4 linked regions of the Anolis sagrei genome follow. Each later gene encodes a partner of the first gene's protein in a complex. Links are inferred from orthologs where the notes say so. Each region holds a gene or a part of one and is shown on either strand. Other genes may lie near its edges.

The links.
Region 2: SNRNP40 (region 1) and EFTUD2 share a complex: the UniProt entries of both Homo sapiens proteins name them as parts of the minor spliceosome. The link is inferred for Anolis sagrei from reciprocal best matches to the Homo sapiens genes SNRNP40 and EFTUD2.
Region 3: SNRNP40 (region 1) and E3 ubiquitin-protein ligase RNF113A share a complex: the UniProt entries of both Homo sapiens proteins name them as parts of the pre-catalytic and catalytic spliceosome complex. The link is inferred for Anolis sagrei from reciprocal best matches to the Homo sapiens genes SNRNP40 and RNF113A.
Region 4: SNRNP40 (region 1) and SF3B5 share a complex: the UniProt entries of both Homo sapiens proteins name them as parts of the minor spliceosome. The link is inferred for Anolis sagrei from reciprocal best matches to the Homo sapiens genes SNRNP40 and SF3B5.

Annotation. Positions count from the first base shown.
Region 1 is NC_090034.1:63,886,170-63,893,346, forward strand, and holds the start of SNRNP40 (U5 small nuclear ribonucleoprotein 40 kDa protein), read left to right. Parts: upstream 1-4,172; 5' UTR 4,173-4,250; coding exon 4,251-4,379; intron 4,380-6,602; coding exon 6,603-6,732; intron 6,733-7,177. Other genes in the region: ZCCHC17 (zinc finger CCHC domain-containing protein 17), read right to left, coding at 1,060-1,101. UniProt on the Homo sapiens protein: Required for pre-mRNA splicing as component of the activated spliceosome. Component of the U5 small nuclear ribonucleoprotein (snRNP) complex and the U4/U6-U5 tri-snRNP complex, building blocks of the spliceosome.
Region 2 is NC_090026.1:47,532,232-47,540,138, reverse strand, and holds the start of EFTUD2 (116 kDa U5 small nuclear ribonucleoprotein component), read right to left. Parts: upstream 3,006-7,907; 5' UTR 2,897-3,005; intron 1-2,896. Other genes in the region: CCDC103 (coiled-coil domain-containing protein 103), read left to right, coding at 3,362-3,478, 6,391-6,536, 7,290-7,422. UniProt on the Homo sapiens protein: Required for pre-mRNA splicing as component of the spliceosome, including pre-catalytic, catalytic and post-catalytic spliceosomal complexes. Component of the U5 snRNP and the U4/U6-U5 tri-snRNP complex, a building block of the spliceosome.
Region 3 is NC_090026.1:52,101,300-52,108,274, forward strand, and holds the start of E3 ubiquitin-protein ligase RNF113A, read left to right. Parts: upstream 1-3,961; 5' UTR 3,962-4,004; coding exon 4,005-4,104; intron 4,105-6,975. UniProt on the Homo sapiens protein: Required for pre-mRNA splicing as component of the spliceosome. As a component of the minor spliceosome, involved in the splicing of U12-type introns in pre-mRNAs. E3 ubiquitin-protein ligase that catalyzes the transfer of ubiquitin onto target proteins.
Region 4 is NC_090021.1:76,161,784-76,167,966, reverse strand, and holds SF3B5 (splicing factor 3B subunit 5), read right to left. Parts: upstream 1,486-6,183; 5' UTR 1,329-1,485; coding exon 1,068-1,328; 3' UTR 511-1,067; downstream 1-510. UniProt on the Homo sapiens protein: Component of the 17S U2 SnRNP complex of the spliceosome, a large ribonucleoprotein complex that removes introns from transcribed pre-mRNAs.

The sequences.
Region 1 (7,177 bases):
TCTCTCTCGTCCCCACCAATCGTGCCTGTGACAATGGCGGGATGGAAAGCAGGGCCTCCTCGGAGGATCTTAATCTCCGCGATAGTTCATAGAGGGAGATGCGTTCGGACAGGTAATTTGGGCCGGGGCCGTTTACGGCTTTATAGACCAAAGCCAGTACTTTGAATTGTGCCCGGTAGCAAACTGGCAGCCAGTGGAGCTGGCATAACATGCGAGTTGTATGCTCCCACTATGCCGCCCCAGTTATTAACGTGGCTGCCTTTCGTTGGACTATTTGAAGCTTCTAAGCAGTCTTCAAATACAACCCCACGTAGAGTGCGTTGCAGTAGTCTATCCTGGATGTAATGAGAGCATGGACCACTGTGGCCAAATCTGACTTCCCAAGGTATGGGCACAGCTGGCGCATAAGTTTTAATTGTGTGAAAGCTCCCTGGCCACCGCTGCAACCTAGGATTCCAGGCTCAGTGATGAATCCAGGAGAATTCCCAAGCTGCGAACCTGTGCCTTCAAGGGGAGTGTAACCCCATCCAGCACAGGTTGCGACCCTATACCCTGTTTGGCCTTGCGACTGACCAGGAGGACCTCTGTCTATACATGATTGCTTGGGTGCACATACAAATGAATGCAGTGGACCCTACTTCTGAACAGATATGCATAGGATTGTATTGTCATGCTGCATTTTTGTACACACTTCCTGGCAATTTTAATCAGAAACAATCACAGTATAATGTGGGTGCTATGTTGCAAGACCCGCAGTGAATACCTGAACCTGTAGATAACAGTGACCCTATTGTTTTGACTTGACCTGGACCAAAAGCATTTTGCAGAATTGCACTGGAGGATTGGGAAAGGCCCAGAAACACATCCAGAAAAAGGTATCATGGATACTGAATCAGTGAGTAATTCGGTACATTCTGTACATCTAAGCATATATTACAGAACTTCACTGTTGTAATGCTAGAAATTACAGAACACAACAACAGTTCTTAAAGTTGTTACAATGTTTTCCATAATGTTTCTTCTTGTTTCACTCTAAAACGTCAAAGTTACAACACTTACCTCTCCCTGGAATATGTCATACAGTTCTGGAAATACTTCCATTGTCTTAACTAGTGCAGCTTACTGGGAGATCACATAAATCTTCTGGTTACCCTTTCTTCTGTATGCTTTATGTTATTCCTTAGAATGAGACAAAAACAGACATGAAATATACTGCAACTGGTATTATCTACACAATTTAGGCAACATCCTGAATTATTATTATTATTATTATTAAACTTTATTTGTACCCCACTAGCATCTCCCGAAGGACTCGATGCAAAGTGCAGTGTGCAGAGAATCTTAAAGTTCTGGTAAAGTGCTTCTGGGACTCTAATAACGTGCTTACTGGAGTTTCCTATTCTGGAAAGGCACATCGGAACAGCCAGGTCTTCAAATTCTTCCTAAAGACTGCCAGTGTGGGGGCCTGTCTAATGTCTTTAGGGAGGGTGTTCCAAAGTCAGGGGGCCACCACAGAAAAGGCCCTGTCCCTCGTCCCCACCAACCGCGCCTGCGATGCAGGTGGGATCGCGAGCAGGGCCTCTCCAGATGAACGAAGGGAGCGCGTGGGTTCGTAAACGGAGATGCGGTCACGCAGGTAGGCAGGTCCCAAGCCGTTTAGGGCTTTGTAGGTAAGCACCTGCACCTTGAATTGGACTCGGAAAATAAACGGCAGCCAATGGAGCTCCTTAAACAGGAGGGTTGACCTCTCTCTGTAAGGAGCCCCAGTTAACATCCTGGCCGCTGCCCGTTGGACTAGTTGGAATTTCCGAGCAGTTTTCTAGGGCAGCCCTACGTAGAGCACATTACAGTAGTCCAGTCTAGAGGTGACCAAGGCATGGACCACCCCGGGCAGATCAGCCTTTGCGAGGTATGGTCGCAGCTGGCGCACAAGTCTCAATTGCACAAAGACCCACCCGGACACCTCCAACGCCTGAGCCTCAAGTGTAAGTGATGAATCCAGGAGGACTCCCAAACTGCGGACCTGTGACTTCAAGGGGAGTGCAACCCCGTCCAGCACAAGAATGTTTTAGCAGTATTTTTCAAATTACTAACACTAAAGCCCACCTTCCGCATGCACATGGTTTAGGGCTGCAATATTCCAGTGAAAGCAAAAACTTGAATTTTTGAAGTCTTTCCCACTCCCCACAAAATCATGTGTGTTACAGACTCCTTTCCCACCAACATCCCTGGTCCATATTTCCTGTTCCTACCTTGGCACCATGATGCCCCAGTCAGATTTTCAAAACCCCTCCTCCTTCCTAGGACACAGAAACCAATTTAAGCAGCTGGCAGCTGATTCACTTCCTCACTCCGCTCCTCCCTGAGTCTCCTCTCTTGCCAACAGTGTGAACCTGTCACTCTCTTTCTAACTTTGGTACAATAATACTGCATCAACCAGATATTCAATCCCACTTCTCATAGTGCCAGGTTGAAAGAAGTAGGCAAAGAGATCAAGCTAGTTAAGCTACACCTACAAAGTCACCAATAATGAAACCTACAAAAAAAGAATGTGAATGTGGAGGGTCAACAGTATACTAGAAATGAACAACTGGAGAGGTGAGGAATTACCTTGGCATGGGAACTTCCAAGGATTGCATTTTCCCAGCATGTGTCCCAAATCTGGGTATTTAAAAAGTTAAATAGGCCTTGCTATGTTCCCTAGAGCAGAGTTTCTCAAACTGCTCCTCCAGATGTTTTGGACTTCAGCTCCCACAATTTATAACAGCTGGCTGCAATTTCTGGGAGTCTGAAACACCTGGAGGAGCACAGTTTGATAAACACTGCCCTAGAGATCAAGGGGGCAAATTGACTTGGTTCCTATGAGTTTTTTGGGCTATATGACCATCGAGCTCATCACACTAGAGAATGAATCCACTTTAAATCTGGTTGCTACCTCTTGAAGAATTCTGGGGTTTGTAGCTTAAAGAAGAGCCTTGAACAGCTTCACTAAATTACAAGCCTCATAATTCTGCAGGAGGCAGAAACCAGATTTAAAGTGGATTCACTAGTGTGATGAAGTAGATGTTCCAGTTGCATTCCTTCCTGACGTTTCGCCTGCATCTGTGGCTGGCGTCTTCATAGGTCTACAGATGCAGGTGAAACGTCAGGAAATAATGCTACTGGAACATGACCATACAGCCCTAAAAACTCAAGCAACCCAGTGATTCAGGCCACGAAAGCCTTCAACAACACAAATGGACTATGTTTTAGGTTTCCCTGTATTTCCCCAGTCAAGGGCTTTTTAAAATCAGGTTTGCCAAAATTTGGGAAATGGGATTGGGGGGGGGGGTACAGAAAATGGGATTCAGAATGCCCATTGATTGTAGGTGAACTATAAGTCCCAGCAACTACAACTCCCAAATGTCAAGATTCTATTTTCCCCAAACTCTACCAGTGTTCACACTTGGGCATATTGAGTATTCATGTAGAGTTTGGTCCAGACCCATCATTGTTTGAGTCCACAGTGATCTCTGGATGTAGATGAACTACAACTCCAAAACCAAAGGACACTGCCCACGAAACTCTTCTAGTATTTTCTGTTGGTCATGGGAGAACTGTGTGCCAAGTTTGGTTCAATTCCCTCGTTGGTGGGGTTCACAATGCTCTTTGATTGTAGGTGAGCTATAAATCCCAGCAACTACAACTCCCAAATGACAAAATCAATTTTTTTGAGTGAAGGACATACATTGGGTTGTTAGGTGTCTTGTGTCCAAATTTGGTGTCAATTCGTCCAGTGGTTTTTATTTATATAGATTAATTAATTAATACTGAGGCTGGGTGGCCATCTGTCGGGGGAGCTTTGGTGGTGATTTTCTTGCATGAAGGCATGAGGGGGTTGGACTGGATTCGCCATGGGTTCTCTTCCAACCCAACTTCTTCGTAAGGCAAAGATGACTTGACGACAGTCAAAAACAACGAGAAGGCCCCCTCCCTGCCAGGGGATTACTTACTTCAGAGCCGTTTGACGCCTGTGGACGCTGTCCTCCGCCACTCAGCACGTCCGCCTTTCCGGAAACCCCAACAGAGGCGCTTTCTTCCTCCCAACCAATCGGCATACGGCGTACATAAGGGGTGGGCTCAGCCCCGTCCAATCGGGGTGCTCTATATTCCGAGAAGCTGCCGATTGGGTATGAGGCGACCAATGAGAAAGGAGGGAGCGCAGTCCTCTTTCGGGTAGGGTGTGAGGCCTGTTCTGTCTCTCCGCGGCTATGCTGGACCCGCAGAAACGGAAGGCGCCTACGGACTTGGCCTTGGTGGTGGCGGCGGCGAAGAAGCCCCGCCAAGACGCCGCCGGGGCTGGCCCTCCTTCGGGGCCCCCGGGCGCCCTGCTGCCCGCGGTGAGTGCACTGGCAGGCCGCAGGCCTCGGGCCTCGCCTCCCGGGTTAGACTCTACGGCAGAGGAAGTCGGCAGGCAGTGTCTTTTACCAGGCCTGGGCCAACTTGGGCCGTCTCTGCCTCCATTCAGTGTTTTGGACTGCAACTCCCACCGTTCCTCACAGCCGTAGGCCCCTTCCTTTTCCCTTTCCTTTTCCGCTTAAGCGGCCGAGGGGGAAAAGGAAAGGACCTGAAACTGCTAGGAATGGTGGGAGTTGGAGTCCAAAACACCTGGAGGGAAGGCCCATGTTGGCCCATAGATGGCATATACCCGGGTGGGTCAAAAAGTAATGCCTCCATGGCTCTAACTTTTATTTCTTTCCCAGCTACTGGACTGTCTATGCATGACATGATTGAGGTAACCTTACTCTACTGATTTAGTCTTTTCTTTTTTGGATTGACGGATTATTTATTTATTATTTAAACTTATATGCCGCCACTCCCCTGGGGCTCGGAGCGGCTTACAAGAATGGCTAAAATCTAACACAATTTAAAAGCAATTTAAAACAAATTAAAAACAGCAATATCAAACATTAAAAGCCTATCGAAACAGGTATGTCTTACATGCCCTGCGGAAAGCTGGGAAGTCCCGCAAGGCACGGACTTCAGGTGGCAGAGTGTTCCAGAGTGATGGTGCCACTGCTGTGAAGGCTCTGCGCCTGGTTGCTGTTAGACGCAAGGTCTTGACACTGGGAATTTCCAATAGATCTTGGTCCTCAGAACGGAGGGATCTCTGGGGTTGGAAGGGGGTGAGGCGGTCCCTCAGGTACATCGGCCCCAGACCATGCAAGGCCTTAAAGGTGAGTACCATCACTTTGAAAGTGATCCGGTGCTCAATGGGTAACCAATGCAGCTGCAGTAAGATTGGGGTTATGTGACATCTCATCGGAATTCCCGCAAGAAGCCGAGCAGCTGCATTTTGTACCAACTTGAGCTTCCGGATCACCGACAGAGGAAGGCCAATGTAGAGGGCATTACAGTAGTCCAGTCTTGAGATGACCGTGGCCTGGATCACCGTAGCTAGGTTGCCCCTGGACAGGTAGGGGGCCAGCCGTCTAGCCTGCCGCAGATGAAAAAAGGCAGTTCTGCTAACAGCTGAGACCTGGGCCTCCATCGTCAGCAGAGGGTCCAAAAGGACTCCCAGACTCTTTACCAATGATGATGGGCATAGCGCCTCGCCATCCAGGGTAGGCAGCTGGATATCCCCACTGCCTGGTTTACCCAGCCATAGGATCTCAGTCTTTGCTGGATTCACAACGTAAGAAAGGCCTTCTCAGAACCAGAGAAGGGATAAAGTAAACAGACAGTGGTCCCAATGACGCTTGAGCAACACTGGGTATATACACTAATACATCAAATAGAATAGAATAGCTTTATTTTAATCAGTTTTTAATTAGTTTTTCTTTTCTTTTTCTTTTAATCATTACATGTAGCCTGCCCATTGTCACTGTGATTGTGTTTACTGTAATTTTATATCGTTATGCATTCATATGTTTTATGTAATTATGATGTTGTTTATTGTTTTTGTTTTATTTTGCTGTAATTTGTTGTTTGGGCTTGGCCTCATGTAAGCCGTCCCGAGTCCCCATCAGGGAGATGGTGGCGAGGTTTTATTATATTATATTAATAAAGTTTATTATTATTATTATTATTATTATTATTATTATTTATTGTACTACTGCACAATGAAATTAAATGTCTTCTCCGACACACAACACAAAACACCCATCTCTCCACATTCTAATAGCTATGGCGCAGCCCTCAATGCCATATCAATGCGAAGCTGTGGGGTTCAACATAGCCAGAGCTATAGGATAAAACCTCTCAGTCTGTTTGAACTTGTCTTTGTCACCCTGTACCGTCTGCTAGATGGTAATAATTCTGTAGAATAATATGCTGGGTAAGATGGATCCCCAAGAATGCTCTGAGCTTTATTAAGGCAACGGGACCTATAAAGTCCTTCCAAAGAGTGGAGAAAGAGGGCAGCCAGTGCTTATCTTGGGTCTCCTGTTGAGATAATTCATGTAATTAAAAGATTTAGACTGGTTATAATGCTTAACTTTTCCTCTAAGATAAGAAGTTACCGGATATTAGAAGTGAAGTGCCTATACTATTCTTTTAATTTAATAGATGTCTATCTTCTTGTTGCCATAGAGACTTGAATGTGTTACACTTTCCTACTTTAGGGCCCTCCAAGATGTTCCTCTCTCCAGGCACCCATAATGCTGCTTTCAGGGCATGAAGGAGAGGTTTACTGTTGTAAGTTTCATCCTAACGGAGCAACTTTGGCATCAGCAGGATTTGACAGGTTGATCTGTAAGTCTGCACTATTAACTCATAAAAACATAGTGTTCTTCCTGATATTAAGAAATTTATTCCATTTAGTTAAGTCTGTATACATTTGCACATGTCTAAAAACCTGTCTTTGAAGAATTAAATATATTAATGAGGTTTTCATTTACCAAAACAATTGTTATTTCCAGAAAGAGGCATTTTCTGCTTGATGAAAGTGAAAGGGCATGGTGTTTCTTAAGATTATACATGTTGGCTGTAGCTTTTAATAGTTTAGTATATTGAAAACAGATAACATTTTAAAGCATGTACTGATTGGGATGCTTTTTACTTTGCTAAAACCTTTTTATCAAATTAAACATTTAAACTTTGCAACCATTGTTTAAATAATAATACAAAATTCTAGATCATGGGTCCTCAAACTAAGGCCCGGGGGCCGAATACGGCCCTCCAAGGTCATTTAACCGGC
Region 2 (7,907 bases), on another chromosome or scaffold:
ACCACTCATTGCATAGGGAAGCTGATGAGGAAACACAACATACAAATTATATACAGACCCACCAAGAAAATCTAACAAATGCTACATTCAGCAAAGAACAAGAGGGATCCACTTACTTCTGCCGGAGTCTACCATATACCATGCAGCTGTGAACAAGTCTATATAGGGACCTCCAAATGCAGCATTGCCCAAACACAAATCAAGGAACATGAACGGCACTGCAGACTACTTCAGCCAGAGAAGTGAGCCATAGCAGATCACCTGATGAACCAACCTGGACACAGCATATTATTTGAGAATACAGAAATGCTGGACCACTGTAACAACCACCATGTCAGACTACACAGAGAAGCCATTGAAATCCATTATTATTATTATTATTATTATTATTAACTTTATTTGTACCCCGCTAGCATCTCCCGAAGAACTCGATGCGGCTTACAAAGGCCAAGGCCTCAAAACATGGCATAACAATACACAACTCAAAGCAAATCAAAACAATTAAAGCAATATCAAAAACAACAGAACAATAAAACAATACACCAAAATACAATAAAACTGGGGCCGGGCCAAATGTAGTGAAAACTCCAATAACAAGTCCCAGAAGCACTTTATTAGAATTAAGATTGCTGGCACACTGCACTTATCCTATAATCCTTACATATCACCTGTCACTTCAGCACTTTTAATCTGTACCCATTACTCTGGCCCGGCCCAGTTTTATTGTGTCTTGGTGTATTGTTTATTGCTTATTGTTTAATTTTGCTTTAACTGTTTTTAATTTTTTTATTTGCTTTAGGTTGTGTATTGTTATGTTGTGTTTTGAGGCCTTGGCCTTTGTAAGCCGCATCGAGTCCTTCAGGAGATGCTAGCGGGGTACAAATAAAGCTAATAATAATAATAATAATAATAATGGGTACAGATTAAAAGTGCTGATGTGACAGGTGGTATGTCAGATTTTAGAGTAAGTGCAGTGTGCAAGCAATCTTAAAGTCTAATAAAGTGCTACTGGACAATTTCAACAGAAAGGAGGAAACCGTGAAAATGAACAAAATCTGGCTACCACTATTTAAAAAACCCTCTAAAATCATAACAGTAAAACACTCAAACACAGGGAAACTCCAGAGAGGAAACAATCAGGGACAGCTAATCACCTCTCAACAAAGGATTTCCCCAGGCACTAACAAGCCACACCAAAAAACTGTCAGGCCTTCAAATGCTAATCAAGGTGGCCAATTGAAACATTCACACCTAGCTCCAACAGACAACAGTTCTTCCTCCCACCCTGGACATTCCACAGATATATAAACCCAATTTTTCTAGTTCCAACAGACCTCTCAACCTCTGAGGATGCAGGCGAAACGTCAGGAAAGAATGCTTCTAGAATATGGCCATGTTGTTGTTGTTCATTCGTTCAGTCATCTCTGACTCTTCGTGACCTCATGGACCAGCCCACGCCAGAGCTCCCTGTTGGCTGTCACCACCCCCAGCTCCTTCAAGGTCAGTCCAGTCACTTCAAGGATGCCATCCATCCATCTTGCCCTTGGTCAGCCCCTCTTCCTTTTACCTTCCACTTTCCCCAGCATAATTGTCTTCTCTAGGCTTTGCTGTCTCCTCATGATGTGGCCAAAGTACTTCAACTTTGTCTCTAGTATCCTTCCCTCCAATGAGAAGTCAGGCTTTATTTCCTAGAGGATGGACTGGTTGGATCTTCTCGCTGTCCAAAGCACTCTCAGAACTTTCCTCCAACACCACAGCTCAAAAGCATCGATCTTCCTTCGCTCAGCCTTCCCTAAGGTCCAGCTCTCACATCCGTAGGTTACTAAAGGGAATACCATGGCTTTGACTAGGCGGATCTTTGTTGCCAGTCTGATGTCTCTACTCTTTACTATTTTATCGAGACTGGACATTGCTCTCCTCCCAAGAAGTAAGCGTCTTCTGATTTCCTGGCCACAGTCTGCATCTGCAGTCATCTTTGCACCTAGAAATACAAAGTCTGTCACGGCCTCCACATTTTCTCCCTCTATTTTCCAGTTGTCAATCATTCTTGTTGCCATAATCTTGGGTTTTTTTTTTTATGTTGAGCTGCAACCCAGCTTTTGCGCTTTCTTCTTTCACCTTGATTAGAAGGCTCCTCAGTTCCTCCTCGCTTTCGGCCATCAGAGTGGTGTCATCTGCATATCTGAGGTTGTTAATGTTTCTTCCAGCAATTTTCACACCAGCTTTGCATTCATCAAGCCCCGCACATCGCATGATGTGTTCTGCATACAAGTTTAAAAGGTTGGGTGAGAGTATGCAGCCTTGCCGTACGCCTTTCCCAATCTTGAACCAGTCTGTTGTTCCGTGGTCAGTTCTGACTGTTGCTACTTGGTCCTTGTACAGATCTCTCAGGAGAGAGACAAGGTGGCTTGGGATGCCCATACCACCAAGAACTTGCCACAATTTATTATGATCCACACAGTCAAAGGCTTTAGAGTAAATGAAGCCGTAATAGATGTTTTTCTGAAACTCCCTGCCTTTCTCCATTATCCAGCGGATATTGGCAACCTGGTCTCTCGTTCCTCTGCCTTTTCTAAACCCAGCTTGAATATGGCCATGCAGCCCGAAAAACCTACAACAACCCAGTGATTCCAGCCATGAAAGCCTTCAACAATACATTAGCCAGAGAAATGATAGGGCTGGAAGGAGGCTCAGGGGCCATTGAGTCCTGCTCAACTGTAGGTCTTCCAGCTAAAAGCAATTCTAGCAAGTCTTTTCGAGGTTGTCCTTACACACTATGCTGTTGGGTCGTATTTTAACAATGTACTAGTTGTACAGTTAGAGGGGGGAAAACCCTCATATTCAGTTTAGACAGTTTAAACCCTCATATTCAGTTAAGACAGGCATGCAGCCCTACCTTCCTGCTTTTCCCTTTGCTTTACCGCCTTCCTCAGCACAGGCTGCGGCGCACGTTCGTTGCTACGTTCTCTTTCCCCGTCGCGCGAGCTGCGACGACAGAATGAAAGGCCCCCTTCTTGCCTCCGGGTGAGGCTGTCTACTCAGTTGCCGGAATGATTTCCTCCATTTCTTTCTTTAAAGGTGCAGTCCCGATATATATCGGTCTTGGTGGAAAGGCATAATACAACAATAACGTGTTATATTATTGTATTGTTGTATTTATGGCTATCTACCAAGACCGATATATATGGAGGAAAATAGAGGAAATCATTCCGGCAACTGAGTAGACAGCCTCATCCGTAGGCAACAGGGGGCCTTTCATTCCCTCGTCTATAGGAAATACGGAGTTGAGCTATTAGCTCCACGGCTGGAAGGCCCTACCCACCTCGGAGAGTGTCCTGGTTGCTATGGAAACCTCGTTGGCATGGGAACGCGAGGCCTACCCTGGAGAACGAACTCCAGCGCCCTGTGTAGACTGAAAAGCTGCCTTCTCTCGGTTTCGTGCTTTTGGTGTGGATTTTCCAGTGCAAATTTTCCTGAAGTATTAGTTGTACTCGCTAAGCGTTGTGTGGCCAACCCTCCATCCCTTTTTCTCTTCTTTCTTGCTCTCCTTCCCTAATTCTTTCCTTCCTTCCCTTTTCCCCCTTTCCTTCTCTTCTTCCTTTCTTCCCTTCCTCTTTCTCCCCTTTCTTCCTTCTCTACCTATTCTTGGACTGCAACTCCCAGCAGTCCTGATCTATCTATCTATCTCTAATCTATCTATCTGGAGGATTGCTGGAAGTTGCAGTCCAGGAATAGGAAATTGAAAATATTCAGGGAATAGGATGCTCTCAAAGAAATCCAAGGAAATTGCATTTTGAAAGCAGTGCATTTGGATCATCCTCCTCCCCTAAAGAGCCTGGTCTAGGGGATGCTGGGAGCTGTAGTCCGGAAGAGAGTGTGGCTATGCTATTGTGTGTTTTGTTTGCTGGGAGAGACATTTTTGTGCATGCGCTGTAGCATCTTTTGCTTTTTTGGCTTTTTAAGTCTCTTCTGCTTTGTTTGTCAGTGTTTTTATGAGTGATAGTCACTCATTGGCCTGATATGTGTATTGTGTCCAAATTTGGTGTCAGTTCGTCCAGTGGTTTTTGAGTTCTGTTAATCCCACAAACGAACATTACATTTTTATTTATATAGATATGTAAAAGGTAAAGGTTGTCCCCTGACATTAAGTCCAGTCATGTCTGACTCTGGGGTGTGGTGCTCATCTCCATGTCTAAGCCGAAGAGCCAGCGTTGTCCATAGACACCTCCAAGGTCATGTGGCTGGCATGACTGCATGGAGTGTCGTTACCTTCCCACCGGAGCGGTACCTGTTGATCTACTAACATTTGCATGTTTTCGAACTGCTAGGTTGGCAGAAGCTAGAGCTGACAGAGGAAGCTCACGCCGCTTCCGGAATCGAACCTGTGACCTTTTGGTCAACAAGCTCATCAGCTCAGCACTTTAACCCACTGTGCCACCGGGGGCTCATAGATATGTGATCCTTAAAAAATATGTAGTGATCCTTAAAAGAGACCCACAGAAGTTTATGATTTAAAACAGGAGTGGGAACCATTCGGGCTTCCATTATTGGGAGACTGCTTTGTTGCTGGGAGTTGCAGTCTCCCAATAGTGGAGGCCTGAAGTGCCTTATTTAGGCCCCTTCCACACAGCTGTATAAAATCCATATTGAACTGGATTATACAGCAATGTGGACTCAGGTGACCAAGTTCAAAGCAGATATTATGTATTATCTGCCTTGATATTCTGGGTTATATGGCTGTGAGGAAGGCCCTGAGAGCCTACTATATTAATGTCTCTTGATACTGGAAATGTATCTCCATCTTATGGAATGTGTTCTCTCTATTTTTTAATGCTCTCAGTTGTTGTTTTTACTATCAGGAGCAACTTGAGAAACTGCAAGTCATTTCTTGTATGAGACAATTGGCCGTCAGCAAGGACATTGCCCAGGGGACGCCCAGATGTTTGATGTTTTACCATCCTTGTGGGAGGCTTCTCTCCTCTCCCCGCATGGGGAGCTGGAGCTGACAGAGGGAGTTCAACCCACTCTCCCCAGTTTCTAACTGCTGACCTGTTGGTCAGCAGTCCTGCTGGCACAAGTGTTTAACCCATTGTACCACTGGGGACTCCATTTAATGCTCACAGTGCTGATGCTTTTGTAGCTAAAATTGTACAACTGGTGCAGAAGAGAGAATTGCATAGCCCAAACAAAATAATTATTGGGCTCCTTCCGCACAGCTATATAAGATCCCACATAATCTGCTTTGAATTGGGTTATATGGCAGTGTGAACACTGATAATCCACTTCAAAGCAGATAGTGTGGATTATCTGCCTTGATATTCTGGGTTATATGATTGTGTGGAAGGACCCTTAGTGTCTTGTTTTTTAGGCTTGTTTCTGTTGTTCTTTGGGGTGATTACTCAGAAAATTGCACTGTCTAGCATCAGCTCTAGTTTCTTAGATGTAGTTATGATTTTTTATGGGAGAGCAGATGAAGACTGCTACATGACAAAGGTAGAGCTGATAGGGGAAAACTGGTGACATTTTGGGAATCAACAAGTCCAGTATACCCAAAAACAAATGTAACATTTAAAGCACCAGAATGTGTGTTGGACAGTGTTATCAGCAGCCTCAATGAACTCTGAGATTTATAAAGGTGTGTGTGTCCACACACACACACAAATCATGATCTATAAATCAACAGGGGCTGGGAGTGATTGGTATGTTTCAAATGCAGTCTTATTCTTGGGCTAGAATCAAAAACTGTACCCAAGGAAGATGATGTTGTGAAGAAGGTCATACCTGATTGACTTTAAATGCCGAACAAAAGTGTTCCTTGCACATTTGTAATAGATTCCATTTGTACCCATCTGAATTTGGCGAGGAGATGCTCTCTTACAGTTAAAATAATTGGTATGCAGCCAGGTTTTGCTGCTTGAATTGAGAAGAAAAAAAGAGTTAGGAGTTGTGAGCTGGCTTAATGTGAAGCACCACGCGTCAGGGTGCAAGCAACTCCTGCCAAGATCTGGATTTGCCAATATGCTGAATCAATTTGGCCCTAAGGGGGGCCTGCTAATATAGCTGTAAAATTGACTAGTTATTCAAAAGATGCTGTAAATCTGTTCTTTCTCCCTTAAAAAGCTGGCTTCTGTAGGGCTCCTTCAGCCCATTGACTGTGGTTACTTTGGGAAGTGGAAAATGCATAACAGTATGCTCAGATGGTAACTAATATCATCTGGTTTCTGTATGTGTGTTTGTGCATATATTCGCTTATGATTTATTTGGACTGATCTTTCTTCCTCTTGTTTAATATCTTTGTATCCTCCAGTTAAAGTTGTTCAGCCCCAATTTTTGGCATAAGAGTTGTTGTTTTAATTAAATATTATACTAGTTTACCTGTGCTGCTCCTAGGTCTTAAGAATGGAAGGCATGATAGATTTCCGTACTTTGGAAAAAGAGTTGGAACAAGCGATTGCCAGTGATGAGAAGTACAAGAGAGAAAACGATGCCAAATTTCGAGCAGTGCGCCAGAAAGTAGCATCCTATGAAGAATTCAGGTTTCTTGAGTCTTATTAATTCCTTTCTTGATGAGAAAGAGGGGGTAGATAAAACAAAATACTTATCTTTAGAGCAGCTGCTTGTGATTTTATCTCAATCCATATACAGCTGTTAAGTTAATACAGTTTAGCATCTGATGTATATGGCATACTAACCAGCAGTTCCCAAATTAAAACAGACTTGCACCAAGAACAACTGGCATGACTTTCCCCCACAGTGAAATCTGTTCTATAGACATTAATAGGTATGTTGTTAATAGTAATTATACAGTAAATAGAACATGAAATGTTCGTGCACACCCATTACTGTTTTGCAAAGTGGTAATAAAGTGCTGCTTCTTCCACTTCCAAGTTTTATTGTTTGGATATCTGAGAGAAAGGAGGCATCCTATAAAAGGATTAAATGGAGCAGCATTTTTTACGGGCAGCTACAAATGCAGGTAGTTAGAGTATGTAAATTTTGCCATATGCAGGCTACCACATTAAATTGTGGCACATTGAAGGTATTCACTTTACCATATGACTTAGTTGTTTTAGTTGTTTGTAGGCATCTGAAGTTTCTTTGTCCTTTGGACAAGCTGAACAGGTACTTGGCACTTGAATGAATACAATACTAGGTAAAATTGTTGTGCCTTTAATAATTTTATTAAAGAAAAAATTTCAAAAAGTAGACGCTTTCTTAACTCCACAACTTTGTATTTAATCAGACTACTGTTGAACTTTTAATAATGCACACTTTTTTGTTTCCTGTAGGGATATTGTTCGAGCATCACACTTAAAGCCTTTAGACAAAGGGGACAAAATGAGGAGCAAAAGAAGCATGTTATGGAATTCCTGTGCATTTAAATCAAACTGCAAAGAAGAAAGTGGAATAGAATTGTCTCAGGTGAAGTAGCTGTTCTTGAAGTTTTTTTAAATCTGTGGTCTCTTCCGAGCCAGATTCCTCTTAAAAATCACAGTAATTCTTGGTTTTAACAGATTTTCTTTTAATGTAGAGACTGGAAGTATGTTGCTGCATATACCTTTTTATATAATTTTTGATATTGACATTTCTTCCTCTTAATGAGGAACTATGAAGCAAGCATATACCAATAACAAATTGCTTCAATGTTCAGAGTGTAAATCCTGTGTCAATGATGAATCCTCTTCCCCATCTTTGAGAATGTCTTTTTAAAATTATGTTAATTTTGTCCCTTATATCCTACCTAATATCCTACCTTTTGCCCATTATTTATTCTACAAGATTAAAAAAAATAAAATTGCATGGAAACTATCTGCATATTTTGAACATCATAGGACTTTGCTTAATACATGCAGAAATAGGCATTTAATAACATGTAGTATTTCCAATATTAGTGCTAAATGCAGAAT
Region 3 (6,975 bases), on another chromosome or scaffold:
AGTTAGACGGTGCTAAATCTGGACTGCATGGAGGATGTCATATGGTGGTGAGATCCAGTCTCTGAAGTTTCAAGTCTGTACGCTTTTATTTCAGGCGTCAACATCCTGGGTACCCATTGTGCACAGATTTTCCAATAGCCAAGCAAAGCAATAATGTGACCCACACATTCTTGTGAAATGCTGGTTATGCTTGAAATTTCTCTCTGGGTGATACAACAATCGTCCTGAATCAATCTGTCAACCTTTTGCTTGTGAAACTCGGTGGTTGCTGTCACAGCACATCCAACTCTTTGTTTGTCACGCAAGACAGATGTTCCCACCTCAACATCTTTAAATTTACTCACCTAATGACACACAGTACTCACATCAACACAATCACCATAAACAGCTTGCATTCTCTGATGAATCTCCTTTGGGGTGACACCTTCTGCTGTCAAGAATTCAGTGACTGCACGTTGCTTAAGTTGCGTTGACCGACCGTCTGCGCAGGGTTCCATACTTTGCACTTTAACAACACAACTGTTCAATGCTAAAGCTTCCCGCCAAAATGGAACTGTAGAGGACAGTCTACAGTCTACAAGCCAGTACTGCCATCTGTTGAGGAGATACGAAGGTGGAGGCATTACTTTTAATTCAACCCTTGTATGTTTGGTTTCTACTGTTTCACAAGGGTATTTCTATAAATGCCCTAAACCTCCACACAACTGAATAAAATCCCACATTTTCTACTTTGAACTGGAATATATGGCAGTGTGGAAGGGCCCCTTATCTCACATTTTCATGGGCCTAGAACATAAGGACTACTAGGGCTTCATCTACACTGCCATATAAAATCCAAATTATCTGCTTTGAACTGGATTATATGGCAGTGTGAATTTACATAATCCTGTCCAAAGCAGATGAGGAATATTTGCTTTGATAATCTGAATTATATGGCAGTGTATATTCAGTCTGAATGTTGTTTGTATAAAGGCTGCCTTGGGGCCTTCTACACTGCCATATAATCCAGAATATCAAAGCAGATAATCCACGTTATCTGCTTTGAATTGGATTATCTGAGTCTACACTGCCAGATAATCCAGTTCAAAGCAGAGAATCTGGATTTTATACAGCTGTGTAGAAAGGGCCTTGGAGATCAAACCTACAGAACCTGTTCAAAACTTGGGGACTGCCTGTATTATAAGAGATTTGTGAATGCAGAATGCAATTTTAGTAATAAAAAAAATTGTTGCCAGTTGCTTGAAAGCTCTGGTTGGTTTCCAATTAACGGAGAGTATTCAGTTTGGCAAGAAAACAGATATGCTTGAAGCACTGTTGCAATATGGTCTTGGTGGAGCAATGTTGATTTTCGACTGCCACAAATGGCTTTGACTTGAACATCAGGTCCATCTCCCCTTTTCATAATCTGGCGATTTCCAGCTTCTCTTTCTTATGCTTCATGCTGTTCTCAGTCACAACCAACCTATTACATAATCTCACAAGTGGAATGTTATCTGTGAAGGTCACCCAAATGTAGAAAAGGCTACAACGTCCTTTGCAAGACAGAGAGAAAAGAATGCAAAGCCCATCAAAGCTTTCCTTCCAATGGCAAAACTCCTAAAAGAAGCTGCTTTTTCACCAATGATGGAGATTCACGTTGACCGACCCTTAAATTATTATTATTATTATTATTAACTTTATTTGTACCCCGCTAACATCTCCCGAAGGACTCGGTGTGGCTTACAAAGGCCAAGGCCCTCAATAAAACAACAGTATAACAAATACAACAAGAAAACTCATAAAGCAAACCAATAAACATTAAAGCAATAACAGTAAAACATTAAAACAATACATCATCATGACACATTTAAAACTAGGGCCAGGCCAAATGTAATAAATAAAATTAAAAGTGCTGGACATGACAGGTGAAATGTAAGGATTTTAGGGTAGGTGCGATGTGCAGACAATCTTAAATCTCTAGTAAAGTGCGTTTGGGACATGATGCTGGGAGTGTCCTATTCTGGAAAGGCACACTGGAACAGCCAGGTCTTCAAGCTCTTCCTAAAGACTGCCAACTTAGGGGCTTGTCTGATGTCCTTGGGGAGAGAGTTCCACAGTCGGGGGGCTACCACAGAGAAGGCCCTGTCCCTCGTTCCCACCAAACGCACTTGCAACACAGGTGGAATCGTGAGCGGGCCTCTCCAGATGAACGGAGGGATCGTGTGGGTTCATATACGGAGATGTGGTCATGCAGATAGGTGGGCCCCAAACCATTTAGGGCTTTGTAGGTGAGCACCTGCACCTTGAATTGGGACCGGAAAATTAACGGCAGCCAATGGAGCTCCTTAAACAGGAGGGTTGACCTCTCCCTGTAATGAGCACCAGTTAACAACCTGTCCGCCGCCCATTGGACCAGTTGAAATTTCCGAGCCGTTTTCAAGGGCAGCCCCACGTAGAGCGCATTACAGTAGTCTAATCTAGAGGTGACCAAGGCATGGACCACCCCAGCTAGATCAGCCTTTACATAAGAGTGAGATGTGAGAGTGGAACTTCCATGCATTCATCTATTTATGTGTGTTAGTGTGTGAGGTTCAGGGTACATCCACAATGCGCAAAAAAGAGTTATACTAAAAGTCCTCCCCTTTTCTCCTCTTTGCATATAAAATTTTAAAATAAAAACATATAATATATTTTCTATATGCATATACATACACATACACACATATTTAATGAATAATATATTTTATAGATGCGCAAAAAAGAGAGTAATACTAAAAGTCCTCCCCTTTTCTCCTCTTTGCATATATATATGTGTATATATATATATATATAATATTTTCTATATATATATATATATAATTTTAAAATAAAAATATATAATGTATTTTCTATATGCATATGCAAATACACACACATATTTAATGCATAATATATTTTATAGATGCGCAAAAAAGAGTTATACTAAAAGTCCTCCCCTTTTCTCCTCTTTGCATATATATATATATATATATATAATATTTTAATATATATATATAATTTTAAAATAAAAATATATAATATATTTTCTATATGCATATACATACACATACACACATATTTAATGAATAATATATTTTATAGATGCGCAAAAAAGAGAGTAATACTAAAAGTCCTCCCCTTTTGTCCCCTTTGCATATAGAAAATATAATACATATATATATTATATATATTAATAAAATATAATATATATATATGTAATTTTTAAAATAAAAATATATAATATATTTTCTATATGCATATGCATACACATACACACATATTTAATGCATAATATATTTTATAGATGAGCAAAAAAAAGTTATACTAAAAGTCCTCCCTTTTTCTCCCCTTTGCATATAGAATATATATATATATATATATGATATTAATAAAATATATATTTTATATATATATATATATTAAAATAAAAATATATTATATATATTATATATATAGAATATAGAATATAGAATATAATATAGAATATAATATATATATATATATTAATGAAAAATATATATTAAAATAAAATATATAATATATTATATATATATATATAATTTTTAAAATAAAAATATATAATATATTTTCTATATGCATATGCATACACATACACACATATTTAATGCATAATATATTTTATAGATGAGCAAAAATGAGAGTTATACAAAAGGTCCTCCGCTTTGCATATAGAATATATATATATATATATATATATATATATATAATTTTTAAAATAAAAACATATATTTTCTATATGCATACACATACACACATATTTAATGCATAATATATTTTATAGATGAGCAAAAAAGAGAGTAATACTAAAAGTCCTCCCCTTTTCTCCCCTTTGCAGAGCAGAGCGACCTCGGAAGCTCTTAACTGCGCGTGACTCTCCAATGCACAGTCGTGTCATCTATAGAACGCCTGACTTTAGAGACGCCAAGGGCTAGAGCGCCCCAAAGCGGTCCGGGCCTTTTCCCCTTCCGCTTGGACTCACAACCAAGATGGCGGACGAGAAGCCTGTTTGCAGCTTCCTCTTCAAGAAGCGTCGCCCCGCGCAGGGGAGGGCTCAGCGCAAGAGGCCCGCCAGTGACAGGGAATCCGGTGAGGAGCCCAGAACCGGGAAGGAGGGGGTCCCCGGGAAATGGGGGAGCCTTCGCCGACTTCTGTGGGTCTCCGTTCCTTGAGGGAGGGAGAATTTGGGCCCTGCTTTAAACAACAACGCTGGGGCCTGTGTTTTAAATCAGGCATTGGCGAAGACACCTATGACTATCCCTTGCTAATGAAGTTCAGCGGCTCGCCCGTGTGTCAGAAGCGAATTGGGAATACATTGGGTTGTTGTAGGTTTTTTCTTGCTATATGGCCATGTTCCAGAGGCATTCTCTCCTGACGTTTCGCCTGCATCTATGGCAAGCATCCTCAGAGGTAGTGAGGTCTGTTGGAAGTAGGAAAATGGCTTTATATATATGTAGAAAGACTAGGGCGGGACAAAGAACTCTTGTCTGTTGGAGCTAGGTGTGAATGTTTCAACTGACCACCTTGTTTAGCATACAATGGCCTGACTGTGCCTGCGGTAAACTTTTGTTGAGAGGTAATTAGATGTCCCTGCCTGCTTCCTCTCTGTTGTTGTACTGTTGCAATTTTTTGAGTTTTTTAATACTGGTAGCCAGATTTTGTTCAAATTCATGGTTTCCTCCTTTCTGTTGAAATTGTCCACATGCTTGTGGATTTCAATGGCTTCTCTGTGTAGTCCAGTATTTCTCAACCTTCCTAATGCCGTGACCCCCGAATATAGTTCCTCATGTTGTGGTGACCCCCCCCCCAACCATAAAATTGCTTTAGTTGCTAACTATAATTTTACTACTGTTATGCATCATAATGTAAATATCTGATATGCAGGATACATTTTCATTCACTGGATCAAATTTGGCACAAATACCCAATTCACCCAAATTTGAATACTCTTGGGGTTGGGAGGGGATTTATTTTTGTCATTTGGGAGTTGTAGTTGCTGGGATTTATAGTTCACCTACAATCAAAGAGCATTCTGAACTTCATCAATGATGGAGTTGAACCAAACTTGGCACAGAGAACCCCCATGACCAACAGAAAATACTGTGTTTTCTGATGGTCTTTGGTGACCACTCTGATACCCCCTCGTGATCCCCCCAGGGGTCCCGACCCCCAGGTTGAGAAACGCTGGTGTAGTCTGACATGGTGGTTGTGAGAGCGGTCCAGCATTTCTGACCCACCAAGAAAATCCAACAAATGCTACGTTCAGCAAAGGACAAGAGGGCTCCTCTCACCTCTGCAGGAGTCTACCGTATACCATGCAGCTGTGGACAAGTCTACATAGGGACCACCAAACGCAGCATTGCCCAAACACGAATCAAGGAACATGAAAGGCACTGCAGACTACTTCAGCCAGAGAAGCTTTCATGGCTGGAATCACTGGGTTGTTGTAGGTTTTTCCGGGTTATATGGCCATGTTCTACATTGGCTGTCTTCAGAAAGAACTTGAAGACCTGGCTTTTCCGATGCGCCTTCCCAGATTAGGAAATCTCCACTACCAAGTCCCATAAGCACTTTATCAGAACCAATGATTGCTGCACATCGCACTTGCCCTAGAAGCCCTATATACACCTCCTGTCACATCAGCACTTTTAATCTTGTACCCATTCTCTGCCCCGGCCATGTTTTATTGTGTTTAGTGTATTGTGCCTGTTGTTTATTTTGCTTTATTCTGTTTTTAATTGTTTGATTTGCTTAGATTGTATTGTTGTGTTGTGTGTTGAGGCCTCGGCCTGTGTAAGCTGCATCGAATCCTTCGGGAGATGCTAGCGGGGTACAAATAAAGTTTAATAATAATAGTAATAATAATAATAGAAGCATTTTCTCCTGACGTTTCGCCTGCATCTATGGCAAGCATCCTCAGAGGTAGTGAGGTCTGTTGGAAGTAGGAAAATGGGTTTATATATCTGTTGAAATTGTCCACATTTCTGTGTTCTCAAATAATATGCTGCATGGTGGAAACACAATATACAAACCATCTACAGACCCACCAAGAAAATCCAACAAATGCTACGTTCAGCAAAGGACAAGAGGGATCCTCTCACTATTGCAGGAGTCTACCGTATAACATGCAGCTGTGGACAAGTCTACATAGGGACCACCAAGCGCAGCATTGCCCAAACACAAATCAAGGAACATGAAAGGCACTGCAGACTACTTCAAGCGGAGAAATCAGCCATAGCAGAGCCCCTGATGAATCAACCTGGACACAGCATATTATTTGAGAACACAGAAATGCTGGGCTGTGTCAGACTACACAGAGAAGACATTTGGGGGTGGGGGTTATGAGTGATGATCACTTGTTAGTCTGTTAGGGGTATAGTGTCCAAATTTTGTGTCAATTCATCCAGTGATTTTTGGGTTATGTTAATCCCACAAACAAACATTACATTTTTATTTATAAGATACTAGCTGTCCCCTGCCAGGCGTTGCTGTGGCCCAGCCTGTGTATATGTGTTTTGTGTGTGTCTGTATGTGTATATGTGTAAATATGTGGTTTTGCGCATGCGCTGTAGTGTATTTTTTGTTTTTTGGCTTTTTAAGTCCCTTCTGTGTTTTTCAGTGTTTTTATGAGTGATTGTCACTTGTTGGCCTGATAGGTGCATTGTGTCCAAATTTGGTGTCAGTTTGTCCAGTGGTTTTTGAGTTAAGTTAATCCCACAAACGAACATTACATTTTTATTTATATAGATTATTAGCATAGCACAGGAGACAAGATGGAACTGTCCCCTGGCCCTCCCTCTTTTCACTCTGGCTCAGAGCAGCAGTTGGTGCTGGGGGGAGGGGTCCCCAACTGATGACATATGCAAGAGACAAGATGGAACTGTCCCCTGGCCCCCTCTCTCTTCACTCTGTCCCAGAGCAGATACAGAATACATGAATATGCTGGGTTAAATGTAGTTA
Region 4 (6,183 bases), on another chromosome or scaffold:
TCAGTTGTTTTAAAATAATGTTGTAATTGTGATTTTATTGTTACTGTTTGCTTGGTATCTAATGGTTGTGAGCTGCCCTAAGCCCCCCCCCCCCCCCCCGGGTGGTGGTGAGGACAGGATATAAATGTTTAAAATCTGAAATAAATAAATAACTACGTTTAACACTACAGATTTATTTCTTGGTTCAGCAGAGACGGCCCTAGGTAATTTTCAACGGTAAGCAAACAGTATTCCCCCCCACCACCACCACTCACTGATATATATTTTCTGTTCATCATGGGAGTTCTGTGTGCCATATTTGGTTCAATTCCATCATTGGTGGAGTTCAGTATGCTCTTTGATTGTAGGTGAACTATACATCCCAGTAACTACAACTCCCATATGTCAAGGTCTATTTTCCCCCAAGAGTGCCCCTGGGCAAAATCAACTATACTGCAAATGCTTACTTTGCGTAATGGGTTGAGCCGCCCCTGGTTCAGGTGTACTATATGAATTAACCACCCAGATAAGTGGATTAGAAAACATCTTGCATGGCATTTATTAAGTTATGAAAACAGTTGCATTTGACTTTACAGAACTTCGTTTCAGTTCATGAATTAACCATCTAGACAATGAGGCGAGAAAACACCTTATGCATTTAACTCCACAGAATTATTTTTGGCGTCACGTTCGCTATATGAATTAAGCTAGAAAACAACCCGGGTGTATCAAGTTGCTAAAATGCAACACATTTTTAATCTGTTCGCCGCACAAATTAAGAATCCAAACAAGCGAGTGAGAAAACACCATGCGTGGCATTTAGTAGCGGTTAAAACGCTTCGGAGTTAAGAGGGATGGGAAAGGTGTCCTGGCGACTCCGGAAAGCAAGCGACGCCTGTGTCCGAAATCAGGAGGCGAAGGGAAACGGCCGGCCTCGAGTTTCTCCGGGTGCCAAGGAGGCGGTTTTTCAGAGTCCAGGTGGCGCCTGCCGTGAAGAGTCCAGTCCCGCCAGGACGATCGGGGCCGAGACGAGGCCTCCCTTCAGCCGCTTCGCTTCGCTCCCTCCCTCTGGCGCTCCTGCTGCGGCCTCAGGACTCGTCGGGCTTGTCGGCGGGGGGTCCGCAGGGCTGCAGCATCTTCTCCATGAGGTTGAAGCGGACGCGGGCCTTGCTCTCGTCCTCGGCGATGGCGAAGTAGTTGAGCAGGTCGAAGTGGCCCATGTAGGAGCAGTAGGAGTCCCGGTGCTGGTTCACCAGCCACTCCCACTTGGTCGTGTCCGCGTGGCCCGTCCCGATGTACTTGGACTGCAGGTGCTCCAGCTGGCTGTGGATGGTGTAGCGGTCCGTCATGGCGGCAACAACGGCAACGGCTTCACAAACACCGGCAAACTCTCCGCGGCCTTCAAGCTGCCCGCCAAGCGCCTCTCAGGAAGAAAAAAAAATGAAGGCCAAAGCAAACGAACAAACTTTGCGTGGCCAAGGGCGCTTCCGCTTCCGGATTAAGAAACACATACGCTCTCTCCCGTCTTTCTGTTTCCGCTTTGTTGGAAGGCGGGACTTATAACCCTAGCAGCCAATAGTATTTCTTGTCCTCTGCTTCCCTCCAACGAATGAGAGAAGGGGTTTCATTTCTTATTTCCCGGGGGACGCAAGGGCGGGAACTCGAAAGGGAGGCTTCTTGAGAGGAGGTTGGACGGGATGGCCCACGAGGTCTCCTCCAACTCTATGATTCTATGAGACTGGAGGCTGTAGTTGGAGGCCAAAATGGGCGCATTTAAAGGCATTGTTGGACACCAATCTCTTTAGAACATGGTTCTCTCAAAGCTTGATGCGGTTTGGTCTCGCTGTCACCGCCCCGGCTCAGTGCTGTGGAGCCCTGGGAGATGTAGTTTGGTGAAGCAGAAGCCGTTTGGAAGAGAGAAGCCTAAAGACCGTGTAAAAACTCATTTAATTGAGGCATGGCCGTTAAAGTGGTGCCAAACTGCGTTAATTTTACAGTATAGATGCACACTCAAGTTACTTGGAAAGACCGATAAAAACGAATGTGTGCCTCCACAAACTCAATCCAGGATTGGCTTCGAACAGGACAGGGCCTCTCTCTGAGGCTACTAAACTTTGATTACAACCTATGTATGAAGCACAGCAATGAAAAGTAACATTTGAGGAAACAGAGTTGGCTGAGAAGGCCAGTGCTCCCAGCTTTGTCCTCTTCGGAACTACAAGAGGCGCTTTGTCTTAGGTGCCTTCTCATAAAAAAACAACAACATGGCAATTCTGGGCATTGCAATTTAAGGGAGATGTCAACCTGAAATGTGTTATTATGATATTGCTTTCTGTTTTTTGTTACTGTATTGTAATGCATTCCTGGGCTTGGCCTCATGTAAGCCGCCCTGAGTCCCCTTTGGGGAGATGGTGGCGGGGTATAAATAAAGTTATTATTATTATTATTATTATTATTGAGGAGCGGCTTGAAGAGCTGGGCATGTTTAGCCTGCAGAAGAGAAGGCTGAGAGGAAACATGATGGCCATTTATAAATATGTGCGGGGAAGTCATAGGGAGGAGGGAGCAAGCTTGTTTTCTGCTGCCTCGGAGACTAGGATGCAGAACAATGGCTTCAAATTACAAGAAAGGGGATCCCACCCGAACATGAGGAAGAATTTCCTTAACTGTGAGAGCTATTCAGCAGTGGAACTCTCAGCCCTGGAGTGTGGTGGAGGCTCCTTCTTTGGAGGCTTTTAAACAAAGGTGGGATGGCCATCTGTCAGGAGTGCTTTGAAGGTGATTCTCCAGCTTCTTGGCCGCGATTGGACTGGATGGCCCACAAAAACTCTTTCAACTCACTGATTCTAGGATTCTGCACACATGCAAGCCGCCCTGGTCCTCCCCATAGAGAGCTATGTTGAAATCTTCCTTCATCTGAAATTATGGATTAAGTGTTTTTCCAATAGGCCTGAGTCCTCCTAGACCCTGTGCTAGTACAAATTACATTGTCTTTGAGCCATCTACAGACCATTCAATGCAGTTCCAAATGGGTATTGAAGAAAGTGGTTTTGCTCTGTAGATGATTGATTACATGGGAAATCAGTTTGAGGCTCTTATGGTGATGACATAAACCACAGAGAGAGAGCACTGATGTGCACTAAAAGCTTTCTTTCACATGCTTTTGTAGGAGTTTGCTGTCTGTAGTTTGAAGCCACCTTTGAACTGCATTAAAAGGTCTTTGTCAATGGAGCCTCTGTTATAATTCAGAATGGAAACACAGGAGTAACAATGCTGCAAACAAGAATCCAGAAATAGCTGGCTGCAAAAGGGTAATGAGGAAAAGGTGTGATTCTAAGCCAGGCTTGCAAACAATAACAATTGAAATTCCCAATATCTTAAAGTGACTTTAAAAGGATTGCGGGACAAGTTGGCTTCTGCAGTTAATCTCATCAGCCACTGGGTGTCAAGAGTTATCTGTTCTGAGTGAGAAGACAACATACATATTCTCGATGGGTGCTGTATGGTATGAGAAACCCAGAGAATTCCTAAACAGTTCATAAAGTGAGGCTTGTGGCTTTAATACTTTAGAATTTAGAAGACTTCCGTGTTAGTCTTTTCTAGAGTGAATGACTGTATAATTTGATGGACTACAGACAACACATCATGGTATGATCATAGTCCAAGAAATGTTCCCATGTCTGTGGGTCACTAAACCTTCTTTGCTCTGTGTATTTTAATATATGTATTTTAATGTATCATATTTATCTCTATGTTTTAATTATGTTGTACATTGCCTTAGAGCCATGAGAAGAGGAAGGTAACAAATAATTGTTGTTATTGCTGTTGTTGCTGTTATTAACATTAAGCCAATCAGAGTGCTTGAATCGAACACTCCCAAACAATTCCCCACTAAACCAGTGCATTCCTGTGTTTTGTTGGCTGGGAATTTACTGAAAGATATTATTAAACATTTGTTGACATTTGCTTTTAGAACTGGCTTTTTTAAAAAGAGCTTTTAGTTCATTTCCAGGAATTTTACCAATAATAAAGCAACTGAAATAAATAAAATGCTCTTCAATAGTGGACTGCCTCAATAATCAATGGACTCTTTTTCACCAGGCGTTTTTATCCTATGGCTGAATGGCCACCTTCAGGTATGCTTCAACTGTGGGATCTTCCATTGACAGAGAATTGGACTAGATGACCTTCAATACTATTCCGTCACTAACAGTTCTACGATTCTATATGCGTATTATCAGTTGGCAAGGGTTTTGTGATCATCACTTTTAGGATATTTGTTATACTGTTAAAGGAGACAGGTATATGTACTCAGTTTTTCATACATTCTCATGAATCCAGTGTTCTAGGTTGCTGCTTGGTGAAATGCCTTATTTGTATTGAATCACTGCTGGGATTTTTGCTATGAAAGCCAGGGGTTTGGCAGAGAGCCTTGCTCCCAAGAATACCTATTCCTGGTGGCCCCAAATGCTGTTCTTACCAAAGCCAAGGTCTGGACCACAGCCACATGGACTTTTCCATGATCTTCTTTCCTGCAAAAAGTCACAAGTCTCTTAATACCACATCTGCCCTCAGGAAGAACATCACACTTCTTGAAAAGTTATGTTTACTTAGCGCTATGTTCTGTTCTCTTAAGGTTGCTCTTTTAATGTGTCTAGAGAAGTTTGTTCTAACTTTTCATTAGTTTGTGGTTAGAATCTCAGACACTGAAGACCAACCCCTGGTGTCTGGAACAATTGAATCCAAGCTCCCAGTTTTGGTCTTCCCTGTCCCTCCTTACAACTCCTTTCAAATCAGCTGCCTCTTTGTACACGTTGAGGAGCCTGTGTCCAAACAGCTTGGAATCAGACTTATTTAGGATTTCTTTTTTAAAAATTGGAATACCTGTATTTCCATATACAGTCGTAATAAAATATATTGAGGATGGTACTCAAGTTTAAATACGAAATGTCTTTGTATTTAATATACAACGTGGACATATAAAGGTAATTTAAAGCAATGTTTTAAATGTGTGTATGAAGTAAAGTCTGGGTCCTTCGGACCCTTTGAAAGCAAAAGTATCTCTATCTCAGCCATCTTTTGAATTTCCTGGTGGTTCTAGAGGCCCAATTTCCCTAGTTTCAATATTTGGATTCCAGCTTTCATCTGCCCCACCATATCCAAAAGGGAAGGCTGGAGTTATGATGCAGCAACTCCTGGAGGACCATGCTTTCTCTCCACTAGTTGTGGACAACAGATATGAAGAAAGAGATTATGGAGAAAAAAAGCTGGAAATTATCATATGACCTATCTTTAATTTTCAGTGAGTCACTTTGTGTTGTAAGCTTCACATTATCACGTGATAATCTCAATTATTAATACTGTAACATGACATTAATGTCATAATGGAAAGCTCAATGTTGCTAAACCAAACTCAGCTGAACGTGACTTCAAGAGGGACTGGTCTAGTCAATGCACGTAGTGTGTCATGTATATATTCTCAGTGGCACAGCTGCCTATCATCATTAAAACTCTACTAGAACATTCTTTCTAAGAATTTGCTGATAACAATGGAGTCATACAATCCTTATCTTGACAGAAGTCTAATATCTTTACTCTGCACAAGGCAAAATCCAACTGTAAACATAAAGTATGTCGCCAGATAAGACCTCTGAGAAAGTTAATAAAAGATTTACATACAAAGCTAGGAATATCCCTTTAATACTGTCTCTAATGTGAGGAACCAGAACAGCTTAGCTGGGACATTCTCCTTTCAACAGCAGGTTGAGATTACCACTTTAAACAAAAAAAAAATCATAATTCTCTCTTTGAATAGTTAGGACATTACACGGTTAAGATTAACTAATAGCAAAAAAATGTAGTGCACTCATATGAACCAATTAAGACTAGAAAATGCCTTTCTAAAAAAAAACCCTCTTACATGATGAAATGTAGGTTGAAAAAATGTGCCTTTAAATCCATCACAAAGCAACTTTTAAAATTCATATGACAGGAACAGAACAATCAATTGAACGAAAAAGCAATCAGTTACAGGACACATATGGAGAGTTCCACTCTGTCCTGCCAGTGACCTCTGATGCAGGGAAGGAAGGATTGTGAAAGGGATCCTCGTTCTGATTGTTGCACCAGAGATGCTGTGCCCTGATCAACAGGAGACAGCCCTCTGTTGCTTGTATTGACTGTTGCCTGATAAATCCAGATATC